Lepisosteus oculatus: one gene and its partners. The protein of the gene in region 1 interacts with the protein of each later gene in a pairwise test. Links are inferred from orthologs where the notes say so. Each region holds a gene or a part of one and is shown in the gene's direction. Other genes may lie near its edges. The genes, in order: stub1, hspb1 and olfm3a.

Region 1 (11,223 bases):
TAGACAACTACGCACCACTCCATGCCCAACTTTCCAAAGTAGCCAGTGAGGGAGATGAAAATGATGCAGGCTACAAATGCTTCCAGGACCTTCAAGAACCCCGGCACAGTAGAGAGGTAGCCACCACCTCCACTGTGTTTGGCCAGCACAGTGTAGACATCGAAGCACAGGAAGGACACTGCCGTGGCCACAATTGCTAGGATACAGCTTTTGCAAGTGTAGAAGACTGGATAGATGATGGAGGCTGAGAAGACCATGAGGGAGGAGAGCATGGCCATGCCTGTGGTGAAGTCATCCCAGTTCATGCAAAGGCTCAGGAGCAGGTGAAGCCCGAGCATCTCAATAATCACGATCACCAGCGTCATGAGGGCACAGAAGAACCAAGTGAACATGCACCAGTTCCAGTACGAGTGGAATGTGGGACCCCCATGTCCCACGATGCCGAACGCCACGACGCAGAGCACGATCTCAACTTGACGCATTATCCCCTTCGGCTTTATCAGACTCAAGAACGTTAGAGTTATTTTTATGTCTGGCTTCATGCTTCTCCTTAAACGTAAGCGTTCAAACTCTGATCCTTAGTGCACAGCCCTTTAGACCTCACTCTGGAGTAGACGCAAAGAGAGAGGAGTTTTGGCTGTCCTTGCTCTCCTAGGCAGTCCCAATTTGTGTGCTTCCACACTCTGTTGCAGAAGAACAGTGCTCCTGCTGAATGTGGTTTTGTGGAACAGGTGTCATGCATTATCCTGCCTAAAGGTTTTCATTGTATTGAAGTATTCATGAGTGTGCTGGTTCCAGATTAGCATTTGTCGTGGAATGTTATCGAAGACAAGCCAGGAGAGGTATTCTCATCCACTCAGTAAGGTCTTTATTCATATTGCAATATGGGAAAAAGCCATCACCCGTCTGTGCAGAAAATTGAAAGCTGATTCAAAAGCAAGCAGGGTGAACCCTTGTTTTATATCTTTTTTAAGCTGATGCAACACTTCAAGGACGGGCAAAGCAGTCATTTTCCATTACTTATAGGTTTTTGCTTTTAAGCAAAAAGCGCAGTTATTCTAATAGTTTCTCATACTGCCTTCTTCAAGCAGCAGAGATAAACGTTATTAAAACATCCTGCACCCTTGACGAGTTGGGGTGCTCTCACACTTTGTTCTGAGTATCCAGCTGCTTCTGCAGCACAGCTCTGTCCGTAAACAACATTTTTAGGATAAAACAACTTTTCTCAGTAACTTTCCATTACACCTTCATCACACAATGTGAGTCCAAATAGATTTTGTCTGTCTTCCACAGAGAAGTCACACCCTGGGATCCATTCTGATTGCACAGCACAGTACCTGTTGGCTATAGTACCTCTCCACTCATATTATAAAACATCAAGCATTGCACTCAGCTTTTCAGGATGCAATCATTGCCCATAAATGTGGTCCACACTTTCCTGGTCATGGAGTGAAATCTAAATAATTTCAAAAAGGGGACTACATTCCAAATATTTTCGTAGAAAACTCATTACTAGGCCGGATTTAAAATGTGTGCTGCCTCAATCGGTCCCCGGTTGATTAGTCATTTGAGGTGTTTTCTTCATGGGAAAGTGTAGGTGTGGGGGGAAAATAGGTTCGCGTGAGAGAGATTAGTTTGGAACAAAGAAACTTGAGACATGTTTGAATTTGCATGAAAGGGAATGCCAAAGGAATTCGTGAAATCACTTTCAGTTTAAGGATTTCTGACAGCCCTTCCTCATCCTTGAGCTGTTATTTGATTGTGTGTCTTTTTGTTTTTGCATTTATTCTAAACCGCGGTGACAGCAAACAAGTGTTTTGTACTATTCTTACTTGAAAATGCACAGCTTCTTTTATTGTTTCTGATAATTGTTGCACTCTTTGTCTGGAAATAGAAATGGAAGTATAGTTAAGGTTGTGCTGTTACTGTGCCCACAGAATGTGCCTCTCAGAAAGAACTGAGTGTGTCAAAAGAACACAGCTACCAAGAAATGGTCAGCTCATTGACGCAAAGGTCACTGGATCTAAATTTTAAAACAATAAAAAAATGTTTCCTTGCCTTTGCTTTTAGATCTCAAGACGTGAAGAAGCAGATAGCATACATTCAACACAAAATCAAAAATCACCACACGGTGAAAAATGTGCCTCACTGATGTCCCAGAATGCCTTGTGACAGTGATATTAGGTGTCTTACAGAGTCCAGCGAAGTTTGAATGTTTTTTTAATAGACTGGTAAAGCAATTTGAAGAGCAAGTGAGCTATTTAAAAGGGCGATTCATTTTATCTTGGAATCACTAAGAGCAAGTCGAGCAAAAAAGCCGAGTCTTAGCTGTGTCCAACGAAGTAAATACTGCCAAGAAATGTTCATTGCAAAACCTTCAAATCCAGGTTAAAATCCTTTGTTTCTAACCTTCCTCTTAGGCATCTCCAGGTACTGTAAATGGGTAACGATTGAGTTTGTACCTCAGATCCTTTACCCACCTAACCATAGAATGTTAGGGTCAGCTTGAAGTTATAAAAAGTAAAAAATAATGGGTGTCTTGGTGTTATGAAAGCTGTGGACATTGTTAGTTTACTGTAGTTTGTGTTTTGCTGTAGCCCATTTATTGTGGCCTTTGACATTAATAGGCTGGACATTGACCTGCGATCTTCCTTACCACCTGCAAAGTATTTCAGAATGAGAAAAAGCTGATTTTAAAACTGAAGCTGGTCTCTGTTTAAAAGGTTGCCTGTTGAAAAACAGCTGCACATCGCTCAAATGTTTGCTGTTGTCGGAGCTTTGGGTACTTCACAAGGGGAGATCATTTCTTAGGAAAAGGGAGGAGTTAGGAATCTCACTTAAATAGACGAAAAACAGAAAGGTAAAACAAAGCTCTCATTCTACCATGCAGAAGCAAAGGGACACAAACAAGGAGACGCCATCAGCAGCAAAGATGGGTGAGGATTTCAAGTCGTCTAAGCTGAATATCGTCCATTTCTGCGAGATCGCCCTTGCTGGCATTGCAGTGGTCTTGTCCCAGCTCATGAAAATTGAAATCACTAGGACCATTGACAGTGTGTCGCCTATTGGGGACCCCCTGACCGCGCTTCAAAAGGTCATCCCCTTGGGCAATGCCATTGCTAACAGAGACCCGTCCAGAAACACCCCAGCCAAAGTATGGTGCATTATCGTCTGGTGCTTCTGCTTCTCCATGACCGGGCTGACGGTTCTCCTGGAGTTCATGGGCCACTCCAAGAAGTCCAACCGCTGTGAGAAGTTCATCAAGGCTGTCCCCCGGTTGGCGATGGTCATCGTCCTCTCCGCCTGCATCGTCTTCCCTGCTTGCCACCTCTGCATGCTGAACGGTTTAATCAAGACGGAGTTCGAGACGATGTGCCACAGGGAAATGATTAGCTGCACCGTGGTGTCCTGCCTCCTCTTCATCGCCTATGGCGTGGAGGTCAAGCTGAAGTGGCCTTAGTCTGGTCAAAGTGGCCTGCTTTATGGATCATCCCCGCCCCCCATTAGATTCAGCCATGGCCCTCACGCAGTCCTTGTTTGCTAATGTACAGTAGATGTTCGCTTTCAGGCTCCTTCCACCCCAGTCTCCTACTGGTCATCAGCATGCAGGTGTTCAGCTGTCACCCGGAAGAGTGGATCACAAACTGGGACAAGGGACATACTGTCTTTTTTCCAGCCACCCTCACTGGTGCAACAGTGATGATTCTCAGTCTCTGTTTTCAGGGGTCTCAAGTGTAAATGGGAGTCAGCTGTGAGGGACTGGACCTAGCTGTTACTGTATTTTTCAGGTGGTAGGTTTGCTGATTGTTCTCTAAAAACCTGTCTCTAAGGTTCATTTTTTTATCAGTAATTATTGTCTAAAGATTATAATTAACTGTGATCCTGCTTAGAACAGTGTGACTCTGTGTATATTCTAGGTGTCGGGGTAATTTTAAATAAATCTAGTGGTGTGCTTTTAACTCAGTTTTTTCTGTAACTGCAGTGGCTGCGTTACTTGTTGTTTTATGTTGTAAAACGTAAAAAATTTAATTTCCTTTAATTTTTTTGCACCATAATATTAGTAGAAAGATGGTGATCCCATATATTTCATGCTATCTGCTTCTTGTCTTCTTGTGCCAGTAGCAAATAGTCATGGGTAAAATGGTTCACTGCTATCAATAGCTTTATCCAGGTGAAAGGGAGTCTTTTTAAATTCCTTTATTTAACCTATTACCTGAGAACAAATCCTCATTTACAAAATTTACCAAAAGAAATGACTGGATCCATCTGAATGAAGTGCTTTTTCGAAGGTTTGGCAGTAGTACTCCTCCCAGAATTGGATAATAAGTTTTACCAGTGTAGTTTAATGGAAAACACATGCAAAGCCCTTTGTAAACTGATGGTGATAGTTTGCTGTATGCATTCAACTTCAATAAACCTGAATGTGTTTATTTTTGCTGGTCTGTTTTTGTTGCTTTTGTTCCACACCTTAGTGACCGAATGTGGAAAAACTCCCCATCAACTGGTGTTGCAGCTTTTACAATCCACTTTTAAGAGCACATAAATAATAGTAATTATTCAAAAACAATTTCACTCCTTCGTATTCATAATGTAGCAACTTGAGCAATAAATCAATGTTCAACATTTCGCAAGGTGAATTCATATCATGCAGTTTATACATGGAATTTGAGATTTTAACTTAAATGCATTTTGTTTTCTTCAGTCCGTTCACGCTTATTATGAAAAAGGAAGCTCATCACTTCAGACCGAGCGCAGCGCGACAGTGACATGATCTGCTGAATACCACAAACTACACAAGAGACAGCACCACAGGGAGAAAGACACGTCAGTCCCTCGGAGATAAACAATGCAAGGTCATTGGGATACAGAACACTGCATGAAAGGCGTGTGGATGTGTATTGAAGTAGGACAAGACTGCCCCCTGGAGCACAGTCTGAGTGCTGGAATATTACAGAACACAACTGAAGCCTGGCACCCTAGCTAGCATTTGCTCATATTTAACAAGCAAAGAGGTTAATTTGAAGATTCATGTTGCCTATTGCTATTTCTGTCTTGGATTCAATCACATACTAAACTTCTGTACACATTGATACCTGTAAAATAAAAGTCTGAATCTGATGTATATACAGGGTATCATAATTTTGTCATCACCTTGTTCCCAGAAAATGCACGTGTGTGAGTGAATGTGCAAAGACTAGCAGTTTCAGTTTCCACGTCAATGGGTCTCCTGAAGCCTAACAATTATGTTGATATTGGACAGGACTGAACTTTCTTCCTTAGGGAAGTATTTGATCAGTATTTGCTTGATGTTAATAATAATAATAATAATTGCTTACACTTTCTGGACACTCCACTCAAAGCGCTTTACAGGTAATGGGGACTCCCCTCCACCACCACCAGTGTGCAGCCCCACCTGGATGATGCAACAGCAGCCATAGTGCGCCAGAACACTCACCACACACCAGCTCTCAGTGGGGAGGAGAGCAGAGTAATGTAGCCAATTCATAGAGGGGGATTATTAGGAGGCTATGATTGGTAAGGGCCAATGGGAAATTTGGCCAGGATGCCAGGGTTACACCCCTACTCTTTTCAGGAAACGCCCTTGGATTTTTAATGAGCACAGAGAGTCAGGACCTCAGTTTTACATCTCATCCGAAGGACAGCACCTGTTTACAGTATAGTGTCCCCGTCACTATACTGAGGCATTAGGACCCACATGGACCGCAGGGTGAGCACCCCCACTAACACCTCTTCCAGCAGCAACCTTAGTTTTTCCCAGGAGGTCTCCCATCCAGGTACTGACCAGGCTCACACCTGCTTAGCTTCAGTGGGTTGCCAGTTGTGAGTTGCAGGGTGATATGGCTGCTGGCTAAATGGTTTTTACTTGCTCAGAGCTTTGTTCAAGGTTTGAGCTTTTCGGTTCTAAAATAATGCTGGGTGTAATAGTATTATTGGGTGGCACAAGCAGCCACTTAGAAGTTAGAGAATTAACTAAATCTTTAGAATATAAATCAAGGGATGTTATATTAAAAGATAACATTGTTAAGAATACTGTACATGCAGTTTTGATCATCAAGTTACAAAATGTTTTGCAGGCTTAAGAGAAATGTCTCTTCAGAATAGACAGTAAAAACTTTCAACAGGAGGCATTTTACATAAAGATTTGTGGGGGAAATGGAATAAGCTGTGTTATCCATGTTGATACCCTGGTTGCCAGGAAACAGCTGGATAAGATCCTCACATCAATTAGTTACTAAGTGATAACTAATTGACTACTAGCTACAGTAGCAATTGAGTTGGTTACAAACCAGATGAGTCTTTCTTATGTTGTTATGTTTTCAACAAGCCCCGTTCCATTACAAACCGTTAATTGTAACAAACTCTGACTGGTCTATAGTTTTAAGTTACTATGCTGCTATAATTATACTAAATCATGACGCTATTGAGTATATATTTAAAGTCAACAGGTCCACCATAAGCACAGCACATCTGTTGCTTGTGTTGACCGTCCACACTTCCAAAATGTCTAGAATTACTGTCAGCTTTTTTTTTATTATTGAATTGAATTGGAACACATATTTGAATTGTCAGCCTAGACATAAATTATAATTACAAATTAAGAAATGGCTGGATGACATCCTCGGATCAATTGACTAGTGACTGCCAAACTGGCTATAGACTAATCCCTTCCTCGGTTTGCAAACGTTCTCCCGGTCTATGTTTTTGTATTTTAAATCAACCTAGAGCGGTGATTTACGTTTGAAATCCGCTCGTTAAGACTAACGAATGCAATCAGCCGGCAAAGCACACCCGCTATGCTCTATTTCATCCATTTTCTCGCAAAAATAAAGGGTTAAACGACAGCGGTAAATCGCTTTGCACTCTATGGTCGTCTTCCGTTGTTTTACTTCCGAGTTTGACCCGAACTCTCTTCGGGCAGGAACTTCCGACAGCGGCTCAGCCATCAAAACAAGAGACGGATGAGACTCGTAGTCCGGGAGTGGGGTGAAAGCCCCAAATGCCGTTATTTTCTGAGAAACGCAATGCGAGTATAGCACCCCTGACCCATGATCGCCCATTTCTTCTCCACAGTGTGAGTCTACATATTTCTCTGGGAAGAAAAACCCCCCGCAAAACGTGAGGTGAAGCGGACGTCAAGGCCAACTGGCTGCGCGGAACCCCGACCTTGCCTGTTGACAGCAGCCGAGGGACACCTCTGCGGCAGCGGGGAAGGCTGCGCTTCAGCTATCCGGTAGGTTCAGGAAGGCGGGGGAGGGAGGGATGGGGTGCCGGTCTTTCCCTTTGGGATAGCGATTCATCAGCTTTAGAGGAGAAGCAATAGATCAAACCAAGCGATGAAATATACGTATTAGTGGCCAACAGTGGGCGAAAGCACGCTTGCAGACATATGGTAGCTACCTGTTGTAAACAGCAATTTGGTACCGAAAATGTCATGGTGTTGATACCGACGGACCCGTTGCACAGTCCCGGTGCCATCTCTTTTCCATCTTTATAGAAGGAAAAACCTCTGTTGGGGATATTGCCGTTAATTTTCGTCTACGTGTACTGATGATAAGTAACGAGACCTTACACCTTATTTCAGACACCCCCCAGAGTGAATTATTATTTTTAACTCTCTGAAATACATGTTGCAGATCCTTATTCTAGAAATCTTGGGGTTAGTTGATGAGGCACTTCACGTATAAGCATGGCCGAGATGGTCAGCAGACGTGACGTGTTTTGCAGCCCAGTTAATAAGTGTTTCTGCTTAAAATGAATATCGCCCCGGACCCGTCGGTGACTGATTAGTCAGCAGACCACAGCGAGTGTGTGAAATTTAGCGTTTTTTCTCTCGGTACACGCGTTTTTATGGGAATGCAGGGCAGATCTCATTGATAACTGGTCTCCTGAGGCTGATTACATGAAGCCTACAACTCGCCAAAGAACCCATGATCCTAAATTCTCAGCCGCATCGATTGTCATAGGGATGATCGAAGTAATTAATGTAGAGTCCTGTTTAGTTCCAGATGTATATTTTAGTCGACCCCACGTGGAAAAAACGTTTGTTTTAGTTATGATAACCACCCATGTGGTTATCTGTCAGTCCTGGGATCTTCTCCGGAAGCCCAGTGATGGTAACTAATATAACACGATTGTTTTAGTGACTTCCCTCTATAGATGTATGGCTCTTTTATGCCATTAAATTAGGAGGCAAAACGACTAGAAGTGTTCTGAAATTTCTACTTTCCTCATGGTGAAGTGGTGCCTTCTGTGTGGAGTCTGCGTGTCCCCCATAATTATCATGCTTGCTGGTTTAACTGGCATCTCGTTGGGCTTGTGTGTGGATGTGCTTCCCAATGGACTGTGCCAATAGTATGGAGGTTCTAAAAATAGGCTAATTCTTGTCATAATTTTTGTTCGCCAGCGATCTGTTAACCAGACCAGGCCAAGATTATAGACTAGGGCCTCCGGCCCTATTCACTTCGCTTTGATAAAGTTTTGATGTTTGAAGGATCTGCTGACATGTACTGTATATATGAGATCAAATACTTAAGAGCCTCTGCTCTTATTCCTGGTTTCCTTCCTGAAGAAGGAAACGTTGTTAGTACATCCTATGAAACCTACCGCTGTAGCCTTGTAAGTATGTCGAAACGTTTCATATAGACGAGAGTAAAAAGTACAGGTCCCTGAGGTACAGTGTAAAAGCCATGCAGGGAAAGGTTTCATATATTTTAATTAAACCCAGATGTAGGTAAGAGTATCTGGCTGCAGGTTTGGACATAATTGAATTGTAACCCCCTTTGATTGCATTACCAAGATTGAGCAAACATCATTATCGCTGGTATCCAAGAGAGACCCGAGAGGCTGGTGTTCCTTTCATTGGCTGTGCAGCTCGATGAAAGAATTTCCATTATTTGAAATGCTGACCCATCTTAGGTTATATCTCATGTGGCTTTCCTGATTGAAATGAACTAATACTGTATTATGGATTACAATTCAGTGTGTGCTTTTATCTTCAGTTGCATTGCTTTAGTTTGTCCTGAACTGTTGTATGTTTTTTTTTCACATGACAGCAATGCATTGTGCTGTTTTTAATCATGTCGATGGTAGATATATAGTTAATTCCTCTTCTAGAGTCTTCATTGAATCTGCCATAGCAGAACTGAGCAATAGAGTTCTGTTTAGAAGGATAAACAGTTCCATTCTGGCAAATTAGCAATTAAAGCAGCTGATCTCTAGAGATGTGCAATTTAAACAAACTTTTGAAATGTGAATAATCACAAAAGAAGTTAAAAGCTTTGCAAAATGTAATTTATTTTCAGTCAATAAAGTAGGAGCAAAACAACTATATTCCATGTATATCAGATTAACATAAATTCATTTTAGAAATACCATTTTCTCTAGCAGGACTGCAGAACCTTTAAGTGCCACAATTGAAGCATCCTTCACAGGTTTACTGGCTGTAATTAAGCTACTGACAGGTGTGCGGCTTAAAACTTTTTTTTTTCCGTTTTGAAGACCCTAATTAGTGATATTCTAAGAATTTGCAAAAGGTAGCTCAAAATTGGTGATAATTGGGGTCAATGCAACCCTTGTCTCAAGTAATGACTTCCCCAAGCATTGACAATGGTGTCCTTATTTCTTTATCTTCATCTATTTAAGTGCTCTTGAGGAGCACTGAAGGAGAAAGCTAGGGATTGCACTACCATTGATGAAGCACATATCTTTGAGTTTTTTTCGTTTTGATGCAGAAGGAGAATATTTTACTTTGCAGTGTGTTCACAGTTACAGTACCTGGACTTTTATTTGCTTTGCTTTTGCTGATATTTTGTGAAGCACCCTGGGGTGCTCAGGCAGGAATGGCACGACATAGAAAAGTTTTGTTGCGTTTGCTAGAAAAGCTTTTTGGGCATAGGTGATGCCACACTTTTTGTGTTTTTAACAGGATATTTATAGGGGAACTGCAACACTATCTTTATATTTCGGGGCTAGAATAACCATTGATGAGTGCGTTTGAAACCGCAATAAAAAGTAAAATCTCCACAGTAACTTGTAAAACCTCCAATTTACATCACACAAAATAGAGGACATTTCCAGGTATGCGCTATATTGTGCGTTTCGGAACAAGGCAACAAAACTTCAGTGACGTGTTGCGGCCCTCTTATATTGTAGAGAAGCAGGCTTGTGAATACATCTCCTTCTAGTCCAATAAAAATATTTCTCTGTTATTTTTTCCCCAACAAATGCCACTCGCTTGTTAAATCTGCATGCACGTTGGAACATTCCTGCGATGAAATTTCTGCTGCACAACCTGCATTTAATTGCTCATACATCCCATTACATTAGTCATTATAGTGACTAGTGAGCAGGAAGGGCCGCTTCACGTCACAATTCGTGGAAACTCGGATGAGAGTTTGTGACAACATGGCGATTTCCGGTGCTTTCACAAAGGGCACGTTTTTGTGCTTAATTTGGAAGCCGTAAAATTTCAGGTCTGAGAAATTGGGACTGCGGTTCCCCCTTTCAGGCTTTCGGGAAGTGTCTTTGCCGCGTCCTGTCGGGGAAACAGAGATGTGTGACGGACGTGTTGTTTCCGCGCAATCCCAGGATGCTCTGCTCTGTTCTGCCTTGCAGGGATCGGGCGGGGGCGGGGGGGGGGGGGGTGTGTCCAGCCTGACGCAGCCCGAGGGGGGGTGCCCAGCCGGAGACACGGGGAGCAGGATTGGGAAGCAGAGTGGAGCGGGCGCGGCGGGGTGCGCGGAGAAGATGGCGGGCAGCCCCGAGAAAAGTGCCTCCGCCCAGGAGCTGAAGGAGCAGGGCAACCGGCTCTTCCTCAGCCGCAAGTACCAGGAAGCTGCCGCCTGCTACAGCAAAGCCATCGTGAGTAGCCGTGGCCCTGTGATCGCTCGAGTGTACCCGTAGCTTCCCGCCAGTCAGAGTTCTTTATCCCTTGTGAGCAGATTCCATTGAGACAGAAAGGGAATGTTTGTATGCCAGTCCCTGTGGGCGGAGCTGTGGCACTGTGGCAACGGATCTGTGCCCGTGGCTGGAGGGTTGCCGGTTCAAATCCCGCGGCCGGCAGAGGAATCCTACTCCGTTGGGCCCCTGAGCAAGGCCCTTAACCCCAGCTGCTCCAGGGGCGCCGTATAAATGGCCGACCCTGCTCTCTGACCCCCAGCTTCTCTCTCCCTGACTGTGTGTCTCATGGAGAGCAAGCTGGGG
Region 2 (10,392 bases), on another chromosome or scaffold:
TAACTTTTTATTGATGTTTGCAGCGCTTTTCTAACTTCAGATCCTCTTTTTAAAAGTGCACAGCTATTTATTTTATTATTATTATTATTATTATTTTTATCATATTATTTATTGAATGACGTTTGATATTGTTTGCCAGGAATGACCCCAATGTCATGGTCTGTCTCACTTGGAGTACTGTGGATCCTGCTGGATATTGTGTACTGTATGTTTCCTCCAAATACTTCTTGTGAATAGTTGTTATGGAAAATGAAGATGGACCACACTCCTTGGTGTGTAACTATCATTTTACCAAAGTGTACCATTTGGAATATATTTATTTATTTATGTATTTATTTGTCTAGCAATCACTGAGTTTGAAGATAAGCAGAACATCATGCGACTTCCATGTTTTGAAAATAGCCCATGGAAAATTCATAAATTCAGTATTCCTTAATAAAATGTGTAAAATAAAGGTCCTAAATTAAGCCCTTTACTGGGTACCTTAAAAACACAGCTTCTTAGCTTTGGTTTCATACAATTAAAATAGTTTTTTTTTTTAGTATTTCTAGAGACAGACAACACCCACAACTAAGTGCCTTTGCTTAGTTAAGCAAAGGGATTCCTGTGTTCTTTGGCATTAATCCACCGGAATGACGCACGACAGCTTGGCCAATGAGCATCAGGTATTAACCAACCCCCCCCATGTGGAGCAAGAGAGAGATAGGGACCTGCTGTAGCAGCAGTGATGGCAGGGGTTCTTATTCCTGTCCTGGGAGCCCGTAAACTCAAACCAATCTCTTCCTTACTGTACACAGTTAAACCCTCAATTGATTTAATTCAATTTTTTTTCAATTTGCTAAGCACTTCATCCAATTGAGGGTCGCAGGGGAGACAGAGCCTATCCCAGCAGGGCACAAGGCAGGATACACCCTGGACAGGATGCCAGTCTATCACAGAGCAGGCAGACACAAACATGCACACACTCACACCCGGGCCAGGTTTCCCAGAAGTCAACCTACCAGCATGCCTTTGGACTTTGGGAGGAAACCAGAGCTCCCAGTGAAAATGCATGTGAACAAGAGAACATACAAACTCCACACAGATAGCTCCCCGGGCCCGGGATTGAACCCAGCACTAATTTGAACTGTTTGATTGTTTTCAGCTCTTAAACGTGTTAGGACAGTAGCACTATAAGTAACACAGAATCCCAAACGTCTGAGCAAAAACAAAAAGTGCATGTATTCCAATCAAGCAACTTGATAGTTCAGTTACATAATTAAGCTCAGCTGGACTGAAAGCCAGCAGGTGCATGGGCCTCAAGGACCTGGAACCCCTGAGATATGGGGATGGCAGAAAATAGTGAAGGCAAAACCAAACCGTGGAGGAAGGATTACTAACCCATAGTGGCAGAGTGTTCCATCAGTCGCATGAGTTAAGGGGGATATTTGTCTTATCTCCCAAACCTTTGCTTGTCAAGTCCCTCAGTCCAGTGTAAGGTATATCGCACCGTAGTTTCAGGCCTCCATTTCAGAGTGTAAATAAAGCAGCCAGTTAAACCTGAGAAGAAATGCAGTAGAATTTTCAAATATGTGTCCCTGGTTTATATCCAGGAATACTAGCTGTTAATGCGGCAATGGTTTTGCATATCCCAAAATGTCCATGGCTTCAGGACATTAGCCCTTTTCAGTATCTCCTTTTCATTGTCATTTTGTACAAAGCAATGAGGGAGAGCTGTCCATGTACAGACAATGCGTTTCCAATGTGTTTTCAGTTTTGTACTGATTTGAATGCTGGTGGTGTATCAGGGAACCTTCAGTCTTCCTCGTCTGTTTCAGTCTCTGTCCCCCTCTGAATGTTACATTTAAAATGTAACCCGAGTTAAAAAACAACAAGCAAATTATGTGGAAAAAAAAAGAACAACTACGTTCACCTTTGGATTGTATAAAAGTCAGTAGCTGTAGTGTACTAGTTAATACACGGTACAATAAACAACATAACAATGGGAACTTGGCTGTTGTTTTGTTGTGTGTTTGTTTTCAGGGCTTTGTATACCAGTGAGAACATCTCCATCGTTTTACCTCAAAGTAAAACTGTGCTAAAATTCTCACAACAGGTTTAAAAAGAAAAACTATCCCTGGGCCTTTTTTTACCTGCATTTTCTCTTTGTGGGTTTCCACTTGTAGTTTTGGAATGCTAATCGGGTAGATTTTTCTTCGACAAAAAAGCCTGAGAAGCCACACAGCCTGTGGGAAGGTAAGAGTGACTTTCACTATTCCTTCCATCCATCCAGTGTCTAACTGATTTATCCAATACAGGGTCACGAGAGAGCTGAAGCCTATCCTAGCAAGCATGGCAGGATACACCCTGGACAGGACACCAGTCCATCTCAGGGCAGACACTGACACACACGCTCACACCAGGGCTAGTTTTCCCACCAGCCACTTAACCCACCAGCATGTCTTTGGACTGTGGGAGGAAACTGGAGCAGAAAGAAGAAGCCCGTGGCACGAGGCAGCAGGGCACACCACTGCACCACAGTGCCGCCAACTTCCACAATCGCCTGTGTTAATTAAACTCACCAGTAACGTGTGATGGAGGTCCTGGCAGAGAACATTTTAGTTTATGACCCTGCATCTCAGCGATTTCATACTCCGTCCTTGGAGGGCCCTTTTAATCTAGTGCGAGTAGTTATTAAACAATTTAACTGAAATTAGTAAAATAGAACATATACAGGATTTTTCTCAAGGTTTCTTTTACAGAAACCATTCACTTCATTAAAATTACAGTCACCTAGAGTATAACATCCCTCTGAACCAGGTTAGAAGTATTACAATTAAGCAGTCAAATAATAAGATAGTTCAGGTGGGCAGCTGCGTCAGCATGCGTAGGCTGCAAAGGAACAAGTAATAGGTTTATTCCCTGCTGAAAAGAGAAGAAAAAACACAAGGTTTCGGCCGTGGAGCTTTCTTCAGGTGTGAATAATAAGATAGTCCACTGAATTTATACACAGACAAGAAAATACATGGAAATACTGGATTTACCTTTTTGAAAAGAATACAGGTAATTACTAAGGGTTAGTCATTCTGATCAACACTGGACTGTAATCGCAGCTCCTCGCACGCTGAATTATCTTCCCCCTCCTACTTGGTCAGTGCTTCCAAAAGAAACTATTTGCTCGACAGTTGTACGAGGGTCCGCCCGCTGGCCCGTCACCCTCGCCGGCATGCGCACTTTTCCACCCTACAATCACTACAGCATTGCATCGACATGCAGTGAAGTCGCTTTAACTCGTTACTGCGTCAACCCTGTGTTCAAGCCGAGCTTCATTCCGCAAAAAAAGAACAATATTTTAAATTTGGGACACGGGGGATCCGAGTTTCCTCGTTGAAGAACACAGTTGTTTTTTTTTTTTAACATTATATAACGTCAATCGGTTAATGGGAAAGAACGAAATTAAATGTATTACACTTTGAGGTCTGGGGGCAGGTATTGTAGGACAGATAATGCTACACAGCAGCACATCTCCTTCAGAAAAATGGAATGGCATTGAGGGTTGTTATATGAGTCTTGAGCAAAAACTAAACGACAATTTTCATATGCAATCAGCGCACACCGGTACAGTATATTCCCCCGTGTTTGTCTGTTCAAAGCAACAACACTAACAACAAATTAAAGGGCTATTTATTATTATGCGTGCTAATTAGCAGTTCTCAGTCCTCTGGCAGATTAACGATAGTCTGTGATAAGACTACGGTTTTACACTTGGCACATACTGCTCATACTGCACACACACAAATAAATTATGTGAGTTTCTCTGTAAACGAATTCATCCCATAGAGGGCACTCGCGAGCCTGTTTTTCCTCCACTTTTCCTCGCTTGGGTGATGAAATCCCTTTGGTTTCAGACACGAGTGATGGAATATTCTGGTAACTCCGGTTGAATTCGAGGCTGGAGGTTTCTGGCTGAACCTCGAGTGTAAATGTATCTTACAAGAATAAAACATGATGACACCTCCGTTAATTTTAGCCTAATCTCGAGAATATTCTCGTTGCTTTCTCAGTTATGCCCCTCAGTTCAATTAATGAGAGAAATAATGTTAAAAAATGGAGGTACTGATAAATTGTATGATAACACATTTGATTTTCGCTAAATGTTGAAAGTATGACTATATGATATCACTCAACTAATATTAATAAAAGGGGGTTTGTACGAATATACAGATCCCTGTCGTTGTGATTTGTGGTGCGCAGAAGATTGTGCTGAATTTCATTTTTTATTGAGCCGGCCGTCACTTTAGTTATAGAATAATTCCCTTTAAATGTTTCATCAGAAATTGAGCCATTGTAATTTTACATAAAAACGATTAGAAGAAAATCATTGGACAGCAGAATTCAAACTCAGTATCGTCGTAAGGTTAAAATTAAAACGTTGGTGATGATTTTTGAATTGATCTCGAACCTTCTACAGTATGTCCCACTGAAAAGGAAATGTTATACTGTATATTGATTTATACAGTATGTGTCTGTAAAATAAAATTGAAGGATAATATCGTTATACAATACACTATAGTAGAATAACTGTTTTAGGGGTTTGTCAGAATAATGAGACTATATTTAGTTCACATGAGTTTTGATATTTAAAATGAAGATGTTTTAATTCATTGCTGAATGTTGCTGTTTAGATATTCAGTAATACAGATCCGAAGTGTTTGATTATGACCATCAGACATCTCAAAACATATTGGGGAAGAAAGTAAGGGGAGATGACAACTGTGTTATTCTCCTTTGCTACGAATGAATATTAAATCTTATTATAGAGAAAAACAGCCTGACATATTTTATACCTATTAGTATCAGCTGCTCAAAATTAATGTAAAACTCATCTTTCTTCATGCTGTTGACTACTGCTGTCAAGACCCCCTGGGTGAAAGAATCCTGAAAAAATATTGTTTCAGATGAATAGCTCAGTGATATTTAGCTTATTAATATACAGTGCGAATAGGACAAGAAAGCCTGAGTTATTACTTCTGTCGTTCAGCTTTTCAAGATCCTCAACCCAGTGAGGCCTGAGCTAGCCTCTCAGCTGTCACTTCTAGTCTGTTAACTCCTCAGACACATTTTGTCACAGCCTGGGGAGCCGAAGCATGGAGACATTTGGAACCAGGCCTGTCCTGGGAAAATGACATTAGGTATTAGATTTATTTTAGTGAGCTTGTGCTTGTCGCAAGGCCTTCACAAGCAACTTCACCTGTGTGACCTACTGCCACCCCCACCCCCCCAAAAAAAAGACATCTTCTTTCTGAAAACCCCAGCTTAAAAAGGAAAAATTGCTGTCAGTTTTTCAGCTTCTTTATTTTTTTCTTCAGAAGGTTTGTAAAAACGTCATTAGAATGACATTTGTCAGGAACTAATTGGGTCTCCCTAGCACTGGTGTTTAGTGGTTTCCTACACTAATGATGCCCCTTCTAGCATTCAGGTGCCCCATTTGTAGCATGTTGAGACAAACTGCTAGATGACTTTGAAGTGATTTGGGTTGAAGCCACAAAGAGCCTCAATTTTTGTGCTTGGTTCTGAAGAACCAGGGTAGCTTCTGAAGTTCTCAGGAATGTACCACATTCGAAATCCCGTCTCTGTGACCAGTTCGGGTTTCGGTGATGGCAGTCCCTCCTCATGATACATTTCAAAGCAGCTCGGAACAGCTCTGCTCCAGCAGTTGCTGGAGTGCTGTTCCTTATCAGCGCTTCTGCCGTGCTCCAACAGAGGAGTGTTGGCAAGGTTCACACCAGATTCCTCTTTCAGGCTGTAATACCAGGCAGGGGATTACAATTGGCTGGAGCCGGGGGTTAAACACAGTGTGTTATCCAGCGGCGGGGGGGGGCGGTCTTGGAACACTAAATTCCTTTCCAGTGGTCTGTCTTCCATGAATAGACTTTCTAGGCTCTTCTATAAATATGATGGGGGGGTGAGAGGCGGGCAGTGAAGGAGAAGTTTATAAAGCCCACGGCCAACTATTACTTAGAGCACTCGCTCTTCCAAACAGCGCAGAGGAGAGCAGAGAACTGCAAAACCTTCTGAGGGTGGTCTGTCCCCGTTCCTAAAACGTTCCTCGCCGACATGTCCGAGCGCCACATTCCCTTCACTTTCCTTCGCGGCCCAAGCTGGGATCCCTTCCGAGACTGGTTCCACGGCAACCGGATCTTCGACCAGTCCTTCGGCATGCCAGCCCTCACCGAGGACTGGTACCACTGGCCGAGCACTCACTGGCCCGGCTACATTCGGCCCTCAGTTGTGGGCCCGGCAGCCGAAGCAGGGGCCCCCAGCGCTGTGAGCCCGCTGCCCCCGGGGCCGGCGATGTCGCCCTACGCCCGCGCGCTCTCCCGCCAGCTGAGCAGCGGCATGTCCGAGATCAAGCAGACCCAGGACCAGTGGAAAGTCAGCCTGGATGTCAACCACTTCTCCCCCGAGGAACTGGTGGTAAAAACCAAGGACGGCGTGGTGGAAATCACAGGTGAGTCCCGCAGGCAGCTCTGTCTTCCCCCCTCCTTCTGGGGGCGCTAGCGCTGCGAGGGGCGTGGCCACGGTACGGGCCCGAGCGGGCGTGAGGTGAGGGTCTGTATGGTGCACCAGCTTTCATGGGTTTTAAATCTTCGCAAACAGAACAAAATGACCTTTTTAATTTTAAAGGGTTAAAAAAAAAACTTCCAGACGTATTTTATTCCTTCCTTTCACCGTGAGTGCAGCCTTGATCATGTCATCTGTCTTATAAAGATTAATATGTAGTCATTGTTTGTTTCTGATTTATGTTTGTTTCTGTTTATGTGTTGCCTGTTTGTTTGGAGCAAATTAGTAAAAATAAGAAAGTCGACAGCTTCATAAAACACATTCTTTTAAAAGTTATGACAGCATTGAATGTTGGGAATATGGTATATCTCATGCTGTCTAGTTTATCTCAGTGAGAAAGTCTTTCTAGTTTTAAAAAAACAAATGTTTCTGAACTGGCCTTTGTTGTGGAAAATGAACAGAAGTCAACGTGTTCCCTGGATTCTCCTCAGAGCAGGGGGCAGCTGGGGTGACAGCACTGGTTCTCTGTTGAAGTGACACAGCTAGCACACACTGCCCCCGAGACTGGCCGAACTTGAATGCTTGATGAATTGAGTTTTACCATGGTCATAGCTGTGTTCGAAAGCAAGCTGATCTGCATCTGTTCCCGTCTACATCTGGTTTAATGGCAGTGTTAAAAAAATAGTTTCATCTGAAAAGCCAGCAAATTTGCCAATAACTGCGTCCCTCCTTCATCGGTGCCATGGGGATTGCAGCTGAGTCACTGATGACTCACACTTGCTTGTTGCTTTCAGAGTCAGCTGCTAGCCCAGCCAGGGCTGTTTCATTTCCTAATCAGACTTGCAAAGTTTTTAAGAAGCTTCACTTCGTGTGTCACTATTTGCAGCATTGGATTGCTTTTATAAAAGTATATAGGGCGGAGCTCTGCGCCTGTGGCTGGAAGGTTGCCGGTTCAAATCCTGCAGCTGGCAAAGGAATCCTACTCTGTTGGGCCCCTGAGCAAGGCTGTTAACCCCAACTGCTCCAGGGGTGCTGTACAATGACTGACCCTGCACTCTGACCCCAAGCTCTCTCCCTATCTGTTTGTCTCATGGAGAGCAAGCTGGGGTATGTGAAAAGATGAATTCCTAATTCAAGAAATTGTATAGGGCTAATAAAGTTATGTTATGTTACTGTAATAAGTCAGTTTTTACTGTTTTAGATTACTGTCTAAATTTGTTTTTATCACTTGATAATTTCCATTGCAACTTTGCATGAAGTAAAAAGACCATTTGTAATGATTTCCTAAAGTGCAACATTTATATACCTGTTTTCACGTGATGTCTCTCAAATGCATTGAAAAGTAATGGCTAAATTTAAGAAATCAACTGTAACCATGAGCACATATAAAATGAATGCAATCTATGGAATATGCTTCACTGTGATACAAGCAGTGCTTGTTTGCAGTAATAGTCAGTTGCCAAAGCAAACAACTGTGTTATCAGGATCTCAGTTTCAATAGGAATGTTCTATATTAAAGCAGGAAGACACACAGGGATCTATTAAAATGCTGTCAAGGGAGAATTGCCAGTTGCTAAAGGAAGCTGGTGTAACCTCAGAACTGAAAACATTCCATGCCTGACCTATGCATTTGTACCTGTAGGTAAACATGAAGAGAGACAGGATGAGCATGGCTACATTTCAAGATGCTTCACCAGAAAATACACGTGAGTATTAGAAAAACAGTATGAAGCATGTGTAATATATATTGTATAAAACTGGTAGCCTGTCTTTGTTGTGTGGAACACTTGTAGTAGGACTAGCTGATGCCCTCCTAGCAAAGTCCAGTTCATGAATTCAGTTTATGACAACATCACCTGTCCGGGCCCTCAGGCATGTGTTCCCTTTGCTTGCTGAAATCGGCAACGCTTTCTCGTTCCCCTCCCCAGGCTCCCTCCTGGCGTGGACGTCAACAAGGTGGTCTCCTCCCTCTCTCCAGAAGGAGTGCTGACCGTAGAGGCTCCTCTTCCCAAACCGGCAATCCAGGCTGCGGAAATTACCATCCCAGTCTCCCTGGAGAGCAAGGCCAAGCCTGCAGTCGAAACCAAGAAATAACCAGCATTGCTCTACCGACCTGCAAAGGCGCAGTGCAGTTAATATTGAACGCTTGACCACGCAGCAGTTTCCCAAATATTATAACAGAAACTATCTTTTGCTTGTTGTTTTTTTCATTCTTTTGAAATTGGCTCAATTTCTCGGTGAATGAAACATCCCCCCAGCACACTGACTTTGTATTATTACATTACGTGCTATTGCAAACCTGCATTTTTGCAGTCATTTCATCCTTCTTTTAGAGTTAGATTTAAAATACAATCCAAATACTCCCCTTTCACTTCTGCCTCCTGCTCTTAAGATTTGCTTGCTGCGCTCTGAATGCGATTAGACTTGGCTGGTGTGTGGGTATTGTTTTTTCTCCATTATGATACTGCAGCTCTGCTGGCTGCGGGTGTGCCATCTTCTGTGAAACTGCAGCTTGGTTTCTTCACTCAGGCACAACGTCCCTGCGTGAACACTAGGAGCATAGATAGCCTTGTCATTGGAATAAAAAATACAGGACATACTGTATGACTTTGGATGAGCTGAACTATGCATACAATACATTACAAGCCTTTTGTGGGAAAAAAAGAGATTTATTTCTAAGAAGTACAGAAAAGTAGGCTTTTATTCCTATTGTGAGACTAAAGAATAAATTACCAATTTGGTATAGCCTTCTGTTATTATTTTTGGTAATTGCTACTCACCATTGTTCTTGTTATGATATTTTGATTTGATGGAATCTGTTTAATGCTATAGTTTGCACATGGTAGAGATCGGCCTATATTTCAGTGGGTGTGAAGGTATTTCCATAATTTTGAAAAATAAATGCTTTGTCTTTTTTAAGTCAAAATAGTTGTGTGTGTTTCTTTAAGAGGATAGCATTAGAATCTGATTTTTTAACATACAGTAGATTGAGAATGGAGAAATGTTGTTCTTAATTTAATCAGATATTACAGGGCTGGAAGGGTGGTCTTGCACAGGATTTATTAGCTTTGACACTGCTTTCTTCACCAAGGTGTTACAGTACATTGTCACTGGCAGCTGAATGAAATACCAGCTGATTAGTTCTTGTATGTGTCTAATGTCATGGCTCAGACTTACGTTTTTGGTTTAAGATTAAACTTCAGACAAACACGTCTCCTGCTCCATAATTTTCCTCATTACTTTCTTTTGGACGGTTTTGATTTTGCCATATGCAGCAGTAAAGACATACTGTATAAGCTTTTAAACTTATGAACCTAGTCATTCAAAGGGGTATCAGTGTTATGCTCTTGCACAGCTGAAACTGTTCTTTCAAGAAGCCACAATAAACGGAAATGAACCAATTTTCTTTTCTTGTTCTGATGTCTCACAAACAGAAACAGAATGCAGAACAGTTTTCTTTTCGATATGAAAGCATGCATTTCTGCTGATGTGAAGTTACCTGCAATTCTTGTCAATAGCAATGGTAATGCGATATTTTGTCCATAGTATTGGAATGGTAGAAAAAATGCATTTGAATAACCACAAGTCTATGCTGATCAAGAAAGTGTTTGTTGTTTCTTTTAAAGAACGGACATGGTAACAAAAAGTAAGTAAAGAAACAAAAAGTAAGATTCAAAAGATGAATTATTCAGCTCCCTTTGCTGTCATGCATGGAAGTGGCTTTTATTTTTTTCTCACTGGCTCACTTTGTATATTTTATAACAGCCACGGCAGACACTCGTCAAAATAAAATCTATTTGGACGAAAAGACACTTCAGCCTGCCATCTTTTTGTGGGTAGTGGGCATTT
Region 3 (11,012 bases), on another chromosome or scaffold:
AAGTCAAGTGTAAAATGTTTGCAATATGGGTTAAACCTGAGACTCCCTTGGTTTTTTAATTACCCTTTCTGCTTTGTAATCAGTTGATTGTGTTATTGTAGAGAACTGGTATTGATATTGCTTGCTGAGAGGCACAAAGAAAAAAAATCATTACATCCCCTCAAACTAAAAAATGCACAGTATATATTTCCATTCATTATCTCCTAATCCAACAAGCCAGCAATCACCCCAGGGACAGCACAAGCTGTCACTTGTTATTGCTCTTCTTTTACAACAAAAATGGTAATGAAAGGTTAATTTCAGTAATACACATGTACAGGTATAATCAGAATTTTCAGCATTTTTTTGTCACTACAACAATATAATTTGTTGCTGTGTAATACTTTTTTAAACATAGACCATGTACACCTAAACATAGATCAACTTTAGTCAAAGGTGGAAAGAGCCAAAGACCAGATGAACAAGCACCACAAATGTGTGTGGACTGTTGAAAAGTTTTAAAAAACTGCCTCACTCCATGTTTGAATGTATATACTGGATATTTCATCTGAACCACAGGCTCTTTCAGTATGTGCTAAAAATGTCATTTTGAATAACAGAATAAACGAGATACCTGTGTGGTATAGACCGGTGACAACTTTTATCAGTGTACTACGAAGAAATGGAAAACCAAGATTCTCAGCACACCATCTTTATCATTCAGTCGATGATCTACTCACCAGATTGTTGGTAAGTACAGGTCCTCGTGTATACTACTGTGTGCGTTTTACATATATATTTTATAATTTATTTAAAGAATTTAAACTTTGACATTTTCACTCAGTCAATAAATTGACATTAGTCCAGGGGTTATGCCATGGAATTGACTGTGAAGAACTCTTAGGCAGCACATTCATTTGTACATGAATTATTTTCCTTTGCATAATTATAGCACAGGGCTAGAGCTGTGATTCATCTTTAAACAAGCCTAACAGATGAAAAAAAGCTATTTGCACCATGTTGTAACAAAGAAAACACAGGCTGTTCTTATTAAAACCAAATAACAAGCAGCTGGAGTTTTCAAATGTAAAAATCTGTCTTAGGTCTTCATTCAAGATGTTTATTAAGTGGTATTCTGTGAATACTGATGATACTTATAGAAGGCTTTAAAGTTTACCTCATTTATCAGTTTTACTATTTTTTATTAAAAGAACATTTCACAATTAGGTTTTCTATCTACAATGCAAAGATTTATCCTTATCAAAAAAGAAGAACACTCCAATATTTAGATTTATATTTTAGATTAAGTAAGTTTAACCAGTTAAGCATTGTGTTTTCACAGCAACAATACGATCCATAAAATAAATCTAAGAATACCTCAAAAAGCTATATGTTCTTTCTTTATGATTTAAATGTCAAATTATATTAATTAAGGGATTAATCTTGGCCTTGCATGGAACTTAGGTAGGGTATTCATTTATTTATAAATTGTTTTTCTTTTGGGTAGTTACATTTTATTAATAAAACAGATTATACTGTAGGAAGTTACATATTTTTTATTGTTCTTAGGAGAGACTCTGAGCTACTTAAAGTTAGCTTGATTTTATTTATTTATATTTTTATGTCTTTACAAATATGATATAGTTTAAGAATAATAAAATATACAGGAAGATATGCATGTGTTTTTTAACCAAATACATATTGTTTGTTGATAAAATGTTGTAACAAGGTAAAGTATTCCCATCTTTTCTGGGACCAAAAATCCACCGTATGTGTATTTAAGAACTCTTATGGTCATCAGGGGTTGTTTTTAACTTTGAAGTTATGCATTATAATAAGAGACATAAAGTACAGTCTCCATCACCTGGATGATGCAACACCAGCCATAGTGCGCCACAACGCTCACCACATACCAGCTATCAGTGGGAAGGAGAACAAAGTGCTGAAGCCAGTTCATAGATGGGAATTATTAGGATTGGTAAAGGTAAATGGGAAATTTGGCCAGGACGCCGGGGTACCACTCCTAGTCTTTTTGAGAAATGCCCTGGGATTTTTAATGACCACAGAGAGTCAGGACCTCAGTTTTACCTCTCATCCGAAGAATGGCACCTTTTTACAGTATAGTGTCCCTGTCACAATACTGGGGCATTAGGACCCACACAGACCACAGGGTGAGCACCCCCTACTGGCCCCATAAACACCTCTTCCAGCAGTGACCATAGTTTTTCCCATGAGGTCTTCCATCCAGGTACTGACCAGGCTTACATCACTGAGCTTCAGTGGGTTGCAGAGTGATATACAGAAGCTGCTGTCTTTTAATCACGACTCAGTGAATGATTCTTGCATTATAATTCACACAAAAAAGGGTTTCATCAGGACTGTTTCTACACCTTTTGTCTCTGTGCTGCAATGCCATTTATGTAAAACTAAAGAACTGGAATCTAAATATTTAAGAGAATCAGAAGCTAAATTGCTTTCATGGCAGTCTACCAAGCCATTTTATACGGTATATCTTAAACTTTATAACAATGAAAATTTGTCAAATATTTCTTCTGTTAATACCTCAGAAGGTATCAAATTCCAATCCAGTTCAGCTCAATTCTGAATACACTTCCTTTTGTTTTATATTATATAGTTCTGACACCCCACATAATAATGACATATGCAAACAATTACTCAAAGGCCTTAAGCATCCAACTGAGCTAAAAAGGAAACTGCAGACTATGAACAAAGGCATGTCTTTTAGGTTTGATGGCATACCCACTACATTTTTTGTATATTGGTATCAGTTGGAACCCTTACTACTTGAGATGCAGACTGCTATAAAAAAATATTTTGCTACTTTTTACTGTATTAATTACTGCATTTAAATCCTTCAATGACAAAAACGATTCTGCCTGTAAATACAATATATACGAATTTCAAAATATCTCTTTTTTTAAATCTACCCATCATTACACATGATAGAATTTACTAATTCAAATATTATACTTTGAAAAACTGAGATAGGTTTAAATGGATGAATGCAACAGCCTAATCAATTTGTTCCTTACTCCCTTCCTCTCCTATCATAGATGTCAGGTCTGTGGGTGCTCTGTGTGCTCAAGCATATCCATATCCAAGCATGGATCACATAATTATGAAAGAAGGAGTGAATGCTTTTTTACTTTTATAAGTGTGTGAAAGATTGCCATGGGATTGCAAATATAAAACGCAACATAAGTATTATGTCTTGTTCTGTACTACTTAGTCACTTATCTGGCTGTTAGTTAATTACAATTAAATTGATTTGTATATTCAGTGATTTACTAATGAATTATTAGACAAATGGATGTTTAATCTGAAGAAGTGTCTGTGCTGGGTGGCTGCTGCCAACGATCATACCTAACTTAATTTGACTTCTTGATAGTAACAGAAAGCGAGCTTAATAAGGGTGAAGAAGCCAGCTCCAGAACCAACACCAATCAGAGGTCAGGCATTTCAGCAAAAGTGGATATTAATGTTTAGGCGATTTATATTTAATCACAAGAAGATAAGAGAAATTTGCCCTTATGGAGGACTGCTCAGCTCTGGCAGCTTCCACATTCTCTTTGTGCCAATGAGCCCTTTCCAATCTTGACATGATAATAATAATAATAATAATAATAATAATAATAATAATAATAATAATAATAATAATAATAATAATAATAATAATTCCATACACTTATATATTCCTTTTGGGGATTATTACGAGGCTGTGATTGGTAAAGGTCAGGGGGAAATGTGGCCAGAATGCCGGGATAATTCCCCTTCTCTTTTCAAGAAACACCCTGGGATTATTGATGACAACTGTGAGTCAGGTTTTACGTCTCATCAGAAGGATGGCGTCTTTTTACAGTATAGTGTTCCCATCATTAGGACCAACACAGGTCACTTGGTGAGTGCTCCCTACTGGACCTACTAACACATCTTCCAGAAGCAACCTTAGCTATCATAGGATGTCTCCGATACATGTATTGGGCAGGCTGATACAGTACCTGCGTAGCTTCAGCAGGCTGCCAGTTGTGAGTTGCAGAGTGAGATAGCCGCTGCCTTTATCATATTGTGCATACAGAGCTCTATGTTGAGGCTAGGAAGCAGTGAGGGACACCACAGAAGTGTTGAACCATCCCCTAATTTCCACAGTCATATGGAGATCAATGGAGTTTTCTGTGGTTGGCTAAGACAGGATCTACGTTCTGGGCAGCAATAATGGGTTAGAGGATGGCTTTAAATCCAGAGTATTTTGGAAAGAAATGGAAAGGAGAAAATGGGATTTTTTAATGGTTGAATGACGAAAGGGCTACTGCTGTGGAAAACAGAAATTATTTTTCACCAATTTCAAGTATAATTATATGGATCACGTATTAGAGTTGCCTTTAACATACACTTCATTTACAACCTGGACTCCAACTGTGCAGAGCCCTCAGGAACTGTCCTCTTATAATAAATACTTGGAAATCTAATTATGGAAACAATTATGTAAAAACATATTTATAGGTATTGTTCAGCTATAGGCATGTATGCACTTAATAAAACTGAGCCATAACTTTTTTATGTTAGGAATACATAACAGATGTAATGTTAAGCACTAAAATACAGATTTACTTCAGTTTATACAGTATGTATAACATACTGTATTTATTGAGTGCCATGAAAATCCCAAAAATGTTATATTAATCTGTTCTGTTTTTTCATTTTCAAACTTTTCATGATAGAATTGGACAAAACTAAAAAACAAAGAAAATATTGGCATAAAATACAAATAATGTACAAATACCACATATTGTACAAAAATGCAATGCACTGTGTAAAGGGACTTCATATTTTGGTGCTGTATGCTCTGTGATTACAATCAGAAAGCATCATACCTTAACATAAAGTACTGTATGCCTTTGTGGTCTGATGAAAGTGTGGTGAATGCAATGACTCCTGGGGAGGAAATATCATATGACAAGCATGGAGAAATCAAAGCCTAAGCTAGTGAAGGCCACCCTATGCAACAGACTGCAGCCCAACTCCATGGTTAGCTGGAGCATAATCAACATTCTGTCAAGTGTACTTGAAACTAGTACTGCTAATAATAGAATTGGTCAAGGACAAAAGTCCAAATCTTCCAGATGTAATGTTAAGCACCTCTGCGTATGTTGGGTACATGATAGATGATGATCCAGTAGACATCTTCCTACTGACCTTGCACCAAGAACAGGTGTCGATGTTACAATAACAATTATTTTATTTATAATTTACATAGATGTACATTAGATACCTAGGCTGTCTTACAAAATGCAAAGCTGTTCACATCAAGGGTTTTTTCTATACTATTCTACAAACTATAAATACTGTTGCCAACAGTAATCAACCTTTAATGACACTTGTGATATATAGACCCTTCTGGAAGTGACAAAAAAGATCATTCTTTCTTGGATGTTTACAACTATAGCAACAAAAGATCAAGAGAAGGCGGATATTTGAAATGTATTTAACTGACATGAAAATTCTCAGGCTAAGCAGGGGGAAAAAAGCAAACAACTTAAAGGATTTTGTTAATCAGCAACCAGTTAAAAATATAATGAAACCATGTACAATTGTTATTATGAAACTTTGTGCGATTAAATAACATTAAAAAATCTTGAAACCGCAGCGTTTACAATGTATCCCTTTACTTGCATAACAAAAAACCAAGAGTGAATTATGCTTAACCCAGGTCTCAGGTATAAAAAGCATAGTGGAGGTGAGGAAAAGCACAGGAATTCGGAATTTCATAAACCGGGATCGTTTATCAAGATATCATTACAGCGTTTTTGGTACAGTATATCAGAATATGTAGCAAGGACATTTAACGCGTGACCATTATAACCTTGGTGTGATACTGTAATACACGTTAACTTAAACATATACACTATACAAATTCTGATTTCATGCTTTATGTGGGATGCAGAGAGTATACAGTATGTACCTGAGAGATGACTCTTCAAGTCTGCCCTGATGCTCAGGTGTATTCGAGCAGAATCCAGAACTATCTGGGCTTACTGTATGCGTTTAACTGTTAATGTAAAGCAATATTTTAAGAATTGATGTGGAATAAAATTCAACTGGTTCGAACGGAAAATGAAAAATTCTAAGTGTCTTCTAGCATTATTGAACACTTCCTCTGGTAAGAATTACTTTCTCATAAACAATGACCCCCATGCACACAAAAAACTTTCCATAATCCCAAAGGGAAAAGAAAGTGATGTCATTTCCGTTGTGCAGGTTTCAACACCTCCTTTGCAGCCCCCGAAATCTCTCTTCAGGTCAAAACTTTCCTGTTGACAGTGTGGACCGGAGTATTCTGTATTGCTTGCACGGCGAAAGCCCTCAGAGCGGTGTAATGAATGAGGATCTATCCGTCTTGTTCCACTGGGGCGCTTTAATCGCCAGGCATATTCCAGTAGTAAACCTGACAAGGTCCTGCAGTGAAGGCTGTGAGTGAATGAGCGAGTAAAGTGCAACTGCTTCCAAACAGAATGCAGGCACTGTTCGGGATTCTGAATCCTCTGCTTTTGCTGATGCTGTTCGGATTATATCCGTCTGTGGTGAGTTGGTTGGTTGTTCTTCTTTATGAAATGAAGATTATTGTATGTGCGTATGTAAAACACTTCACAGGTAAGTTTAGTGAGGAGAAAGATTGGAGAAAAATCCTCTTGGTAAAATATATTGCTTACTGTAACCAGCACTGCAGTTCTAGGAGAATTGTACCGTTCCAGTTCGCTAAGCTGGTTGTCTTTGCTGGCCACTGGCAAAACATCCGTATTAATTATATCAGTAACATAACAACTGGAGGATGCTTCAAGAAAGCTTTCAATGCTCAAGGTAAAAGAGCGAATGCTACCGCGGCATGCAACATGCACGCATGCACTTTATATATAAACGTTTGAAGGCGCAAAGCTTTCACACTAGGAAAATAACGTTGAAATTCTGCCAGATAATTGAAATATAGCGTTTATACACATCGTTGAGCAATGACTAAGCTAGCGGTTTGAAATTCAAGCAGTGATAAAGTATTAAGCGCCTGTTACGCCTCTACCACATTGTGGATGATCTCGTCGAGATTAACTGAAACATATACGAAGTCTAAATTACTATTTAATCCGAATATCCCCTCTAATATGGTGTTAGTATTAGGTTCATGGATAAGAACAGCTAACTCTAGAACTTTATTAATGAGGGTTTTGTGCCATTTTAGCGGCAATATAGTTGCAATGTAAAAATAAAATTTGCGTCACATCACTAAATTCAAATTAATACACAAGTGCTGACTAAAAATTGTTTGCTTGTTATAATACACTGTCGTCGAAAACAGAAAAGACAAAAAAATAATCCCGGTTAACCTGACGAAATACAATACAAGGACAATACATTGCTTTAACACATGTTGTATAGAAATGGAGACTTGAGATACGTGATGCAGTGGTTCAGTTTAGTTTCCCATAGTATCGAAATGCAGAACAGTGTACACAATGCACAATCACAAAGGTATTTATCTCTTGTGTTGCATGAAATAAAAGAAGGGAAAGAAATACTAATTTAGAAAATGTGCTTACATGAACACATTTTAAGCCATTAGACACGTATTGCTGACTTATTAGTCTATTTATTATTAATGACTTTGTTACCTGAGGTTTTAAAATGTAATCAATATCTAACTAAATTACCACTTACAATCACTCCATCCCCTCCTGCACAAATAGTTTGTATACTTTGAATGTTCTTCTTAATGTACACTTATACTAAGTCCAATAATATCAACAACAGTGGTTTAAGAGAATGCTCTGGGCTTTTTTCAAAGGCCTTTTTTTCCCTGACATTGAGATGTGTTATTGTGACAACAATATTTATTTAGTCAAAGGAAGGCTTTTTATCAATTTTGCAGAAGTTGAATTTTTTCTGTATGGTATAGCAAAAGCTTTACATTGCTGTATATACTGTATGTCCAGTAATTAAATATTATAATAAAAATGTTTTCAAACTCTCCATTGCATGCACATGTTTTCATCGACTTCAAAATGTAAGAGCTCAATCCCAGTTTTGTTATTGTCTTCCAAGAGGGCTACTGACAATTGATCCAGCCAAAATATTGTTGTTTCAAATCTGGTGGTGTGAAATAAACTGTCAATTCTTTTGTCAGAGAGCCATGGAGTATATCATGTTGATGATTCTTGAAATTATTGTTGCTAATTTCCTCCCACACTTTGTTTCTGTGACTGAAGAATTAATGAACAAAATAGAAATGTATATATGCGAGTGTCCTAACTTTATAATAACCTACTTTATACATATTACTGATATGCAGCCAAAGTAGATTAAGATTTAGATTCAGTTGGTTATTTTGCATCTACAAGTAAAACAAAATGCGTCTTCTGAGAAAATCAACCTGTTAAAATGTTAAAGTAGAGCACAAGTTGAGCTTTATAATTTAGATAGCTTTGATACGAACCTAAACCTTCTCTTAAGCTTAGTCAGTGACTGGGATTCATCAGCTACCGGTGCACCCATATCCTTGACTGGCACCCATATCCTTGACTGCTTGTGCAAGAGCAGGCTGTTTTTCTCGCTGGATGCCTGTAAGCTTGCAGTATTGATATTGAATGTCACATTATTCCTCCAATGCTAACTCCCATAAGGCACCATAAGACATGTAGTATAGAAAATGGCAGTCAAATCTGACAAGAACTCATTGTGGAGGAAAGCATGTACTGTTCTCAATCCTCTGTTCTGATAAAGTTAAAGAATGATAATTGGTTAATTCCAGAGTTTAACAACAAAAACATAAAATGTTATTTACTTTACAGTCTTGTAAAATAATTAGGTGGTTACTGGTCTTGGTGCTGAAAACAACTCACGAACCCTTCATCAACTATCAGCATGGGGGTAATTTCATCAAACATTTCTCAGTCTTCACATTTTGAATATCATTGTTTATGTTAATATCCTTATATTTTATTTCTACACAACTGCAACTTTTATAAATTGTCATTATTGCAGTAATTTTAAAAATATGAGGTACTTAAACCACACACCTGTAAAGGGATGTAACATAGTTATCTACAGTATATGAAGGCAATTTCTTATCTATTTTAGAAGAGTTAACACTTTTTGCATCTGAATTTGTCTGTTGATTGATTCAGTGTGTTTAAATAGATTAATGTTCAACCCAGGCAGGTCTTTCAAGATTATAATATGAGCTGTCAGCTCTATGCAGTATGATCTAAGTTGATGCAATGCTTCTGAATGCAACAAAAAATAATCATTAAAATGGTCTCCTTAGTAATAAATTCACCTTTACATCAATGTGACCTCTCAGAAAATAAGCACCAGTATATTTTAGCTTATATCATTAGTGCCATTCCTGGCACTTATTGGGCATAAAATAAGAGTGAAAAAAGATTTCCCTCACCCTGAAACACATTTGCTTTGCCCAGTACAAATAACCCCATTAAAATGCATCTCGGCTGACGATTTTGAATTTCATAATGGGGTAAAACCTTCACAAGACAGAAGTACATTCATGACTCACCAAGACCAATTAGACATTGTGAATTAATTTAAATCCTTAATCCTGAACATGCTTTGTAATGATCTATGAATACTTACTGTAGCTTCTTGTGATTTTTCAAATTTTTTATCACAGTTTTTCTAAAACTTTTTAATATACAGCATTTTAGGTCTACAGGTAGAAAAATACTTTTGATCAAGTGTACAAAGCAAAGAAAATCTATGGAAAATGAAATGTTATTGATCCTTAAAGACCAACATAATTATGGTCTTTCAGTTTAATCCCCATAATCATTACCATGTTTCTTTTAAACCAATGATTAAATCAAATTTTGACTCATATGGAATTAGAAATCCTGAGCCTGTTTCATGCTGTTGGTTATATATTTCCCATGGACAATATTGTGTTTATAGAATAATATATTTGTACAATGAAAGACTTAGTGTTCCACCAGTGCTGGGGATGGATTTTGCAATTGGCAGTTGTGTTGATCTTCGGTAGAATCTAGGCCTTAGTCTTCTGAGAAAAAGGTAGAATCCAAAGTACAACAATGCTTTCCTGCACTTATTTTTGTGCTAAAATATAAAGTAATATGGAATAAATGTCCAGTTTACAACTTCTTTATAAACAATAAAATCAACAAGAACTATTTATCATAATACTTTACATTCAGCAGGAGCAACATTATTTTAGATACAATATATTTTTCAATGTCCTTATTGTATTCCACAGTCTTTTAAGCATGTGGTTATTAGAATGACTCCAACCAGATAGTTTTACTAACCCTTAGTGTCATTGCTGTCTTATTCATAGACAAATAATTATATTGGATGGTATTTATATTGCAGTAGCACTGCATTTTGTGGACCTAAAAACAGCTGCTGCTTACATATGTTCTTATCTCAAAATAAAGTATATGAAAAACAGAAATGTATTAGCACTGAGGTTGGGCATTGTTTTTGTGACGTGTACATATGTGTAGATACATTGATTAGATTTTTAAATTCATTTATTTTCAACCTTAAAGGTCTGTGTGCTCTTCTGTGCGTGCTGTAGACCTGAGTTACAGCTTTTCTTCAAATGCAGCCTAGAACACAGTATGGGGGCTTTTAGCATAATGATGAAACAGATTGTATTACTCTAATCTATTACATCCAATTTTCTTCACCATAAGCTGTTATTCTACAACAGACCTGACATAAAACTGACAGACACCTCCTTGTGTATTTGTCTTACAAAGCATGGCAAAAAGAGTAAGAGTCATCCACACTTTCAGTACATTTCTTTTTAATTCACTCTGTCCTTGCTATCATCAAATACATTTATCCTTCGTGAGCAGAATTATTGGATTTCAGTGACCAACCTAAAGTACTGATTGAGTCTCATTAAAGATTACTGTAATGTATTGGAAGGCATCCTGATAGATAGAGGGGAATGGAGAAAAATTAATTACAAATGTATCCAAACTTTGATT

The links.
Region 2: the proteins of stub1 (region 1) and hspb1 interact in binary tests that used the Homo sapiens proteins (3 or more experiments, as listed by UniProt). The link is inferred for Lepisosteus oculatus from reciprocal best matches to the Homo sapiens genes STUB1 and HSPB1.
Region 3: the proteins of stub1 (region 1) and olfm3a interact in binary tests that used the Homo sapiens proteins (3 or more experiments, as listed by UniProt). The two-hybrid records come from large-scale screens. The link is inferred for Lepisosteus oculatus from reciprocal best matches to the Homo sapiens genes STUB1 and OLFM3.

What each region holds. Positions count from the first base shown.
Region 1 is NC_090714.1:6,184,193-6,195,415, forward strand, and holds the start of stub1 (E3 ubiquitin-protein ligase CHIP), read left to right. Parts: upstream 1-7,145; 5' UTR 7,146-7,252; intron 7,253-10,635; 5' UTR 10,636-10,767; coding exon 10,768-10,881; intron 10,882-11,223. UniProt on the Homo sapiens protein: E3 ubiquitin-protein ligase which targets misfolded chaperone substrates towards proteasomal degradation.
Region 2 is NC_090721.1:3,379,531-3,389,922, forward strand, and holds hspb1 (heat shock protein beta-1), read left to right. Parts: upstream 1-5,981; 5' UTR 5,982-6,096; coding exon 6,097-6,490; intron 6,491-8,185; coding exon 8,186-8,249; intron 8,250-8,471; coding exon 8,472-8,637; 3' UTR 8,638-9,944; downstream 9,945-10,392. UniProt on the Homo sapiens protein: Small heat shock protein which functions as a molecular chaperone probably maintaining denatured proteins in a folding-competent state. Plays a role in stress resistance and actin organization.
Region 3 is NC_090704.1:10,112,522-10,123,533, reverse strand, and holds the start of olfm3a (noelin-3a), read left to right. Parts: upstream 1-6,253; 5' UTR 6,254-6,509; coding exon 6,510-6,578; intron 6,579-11,012.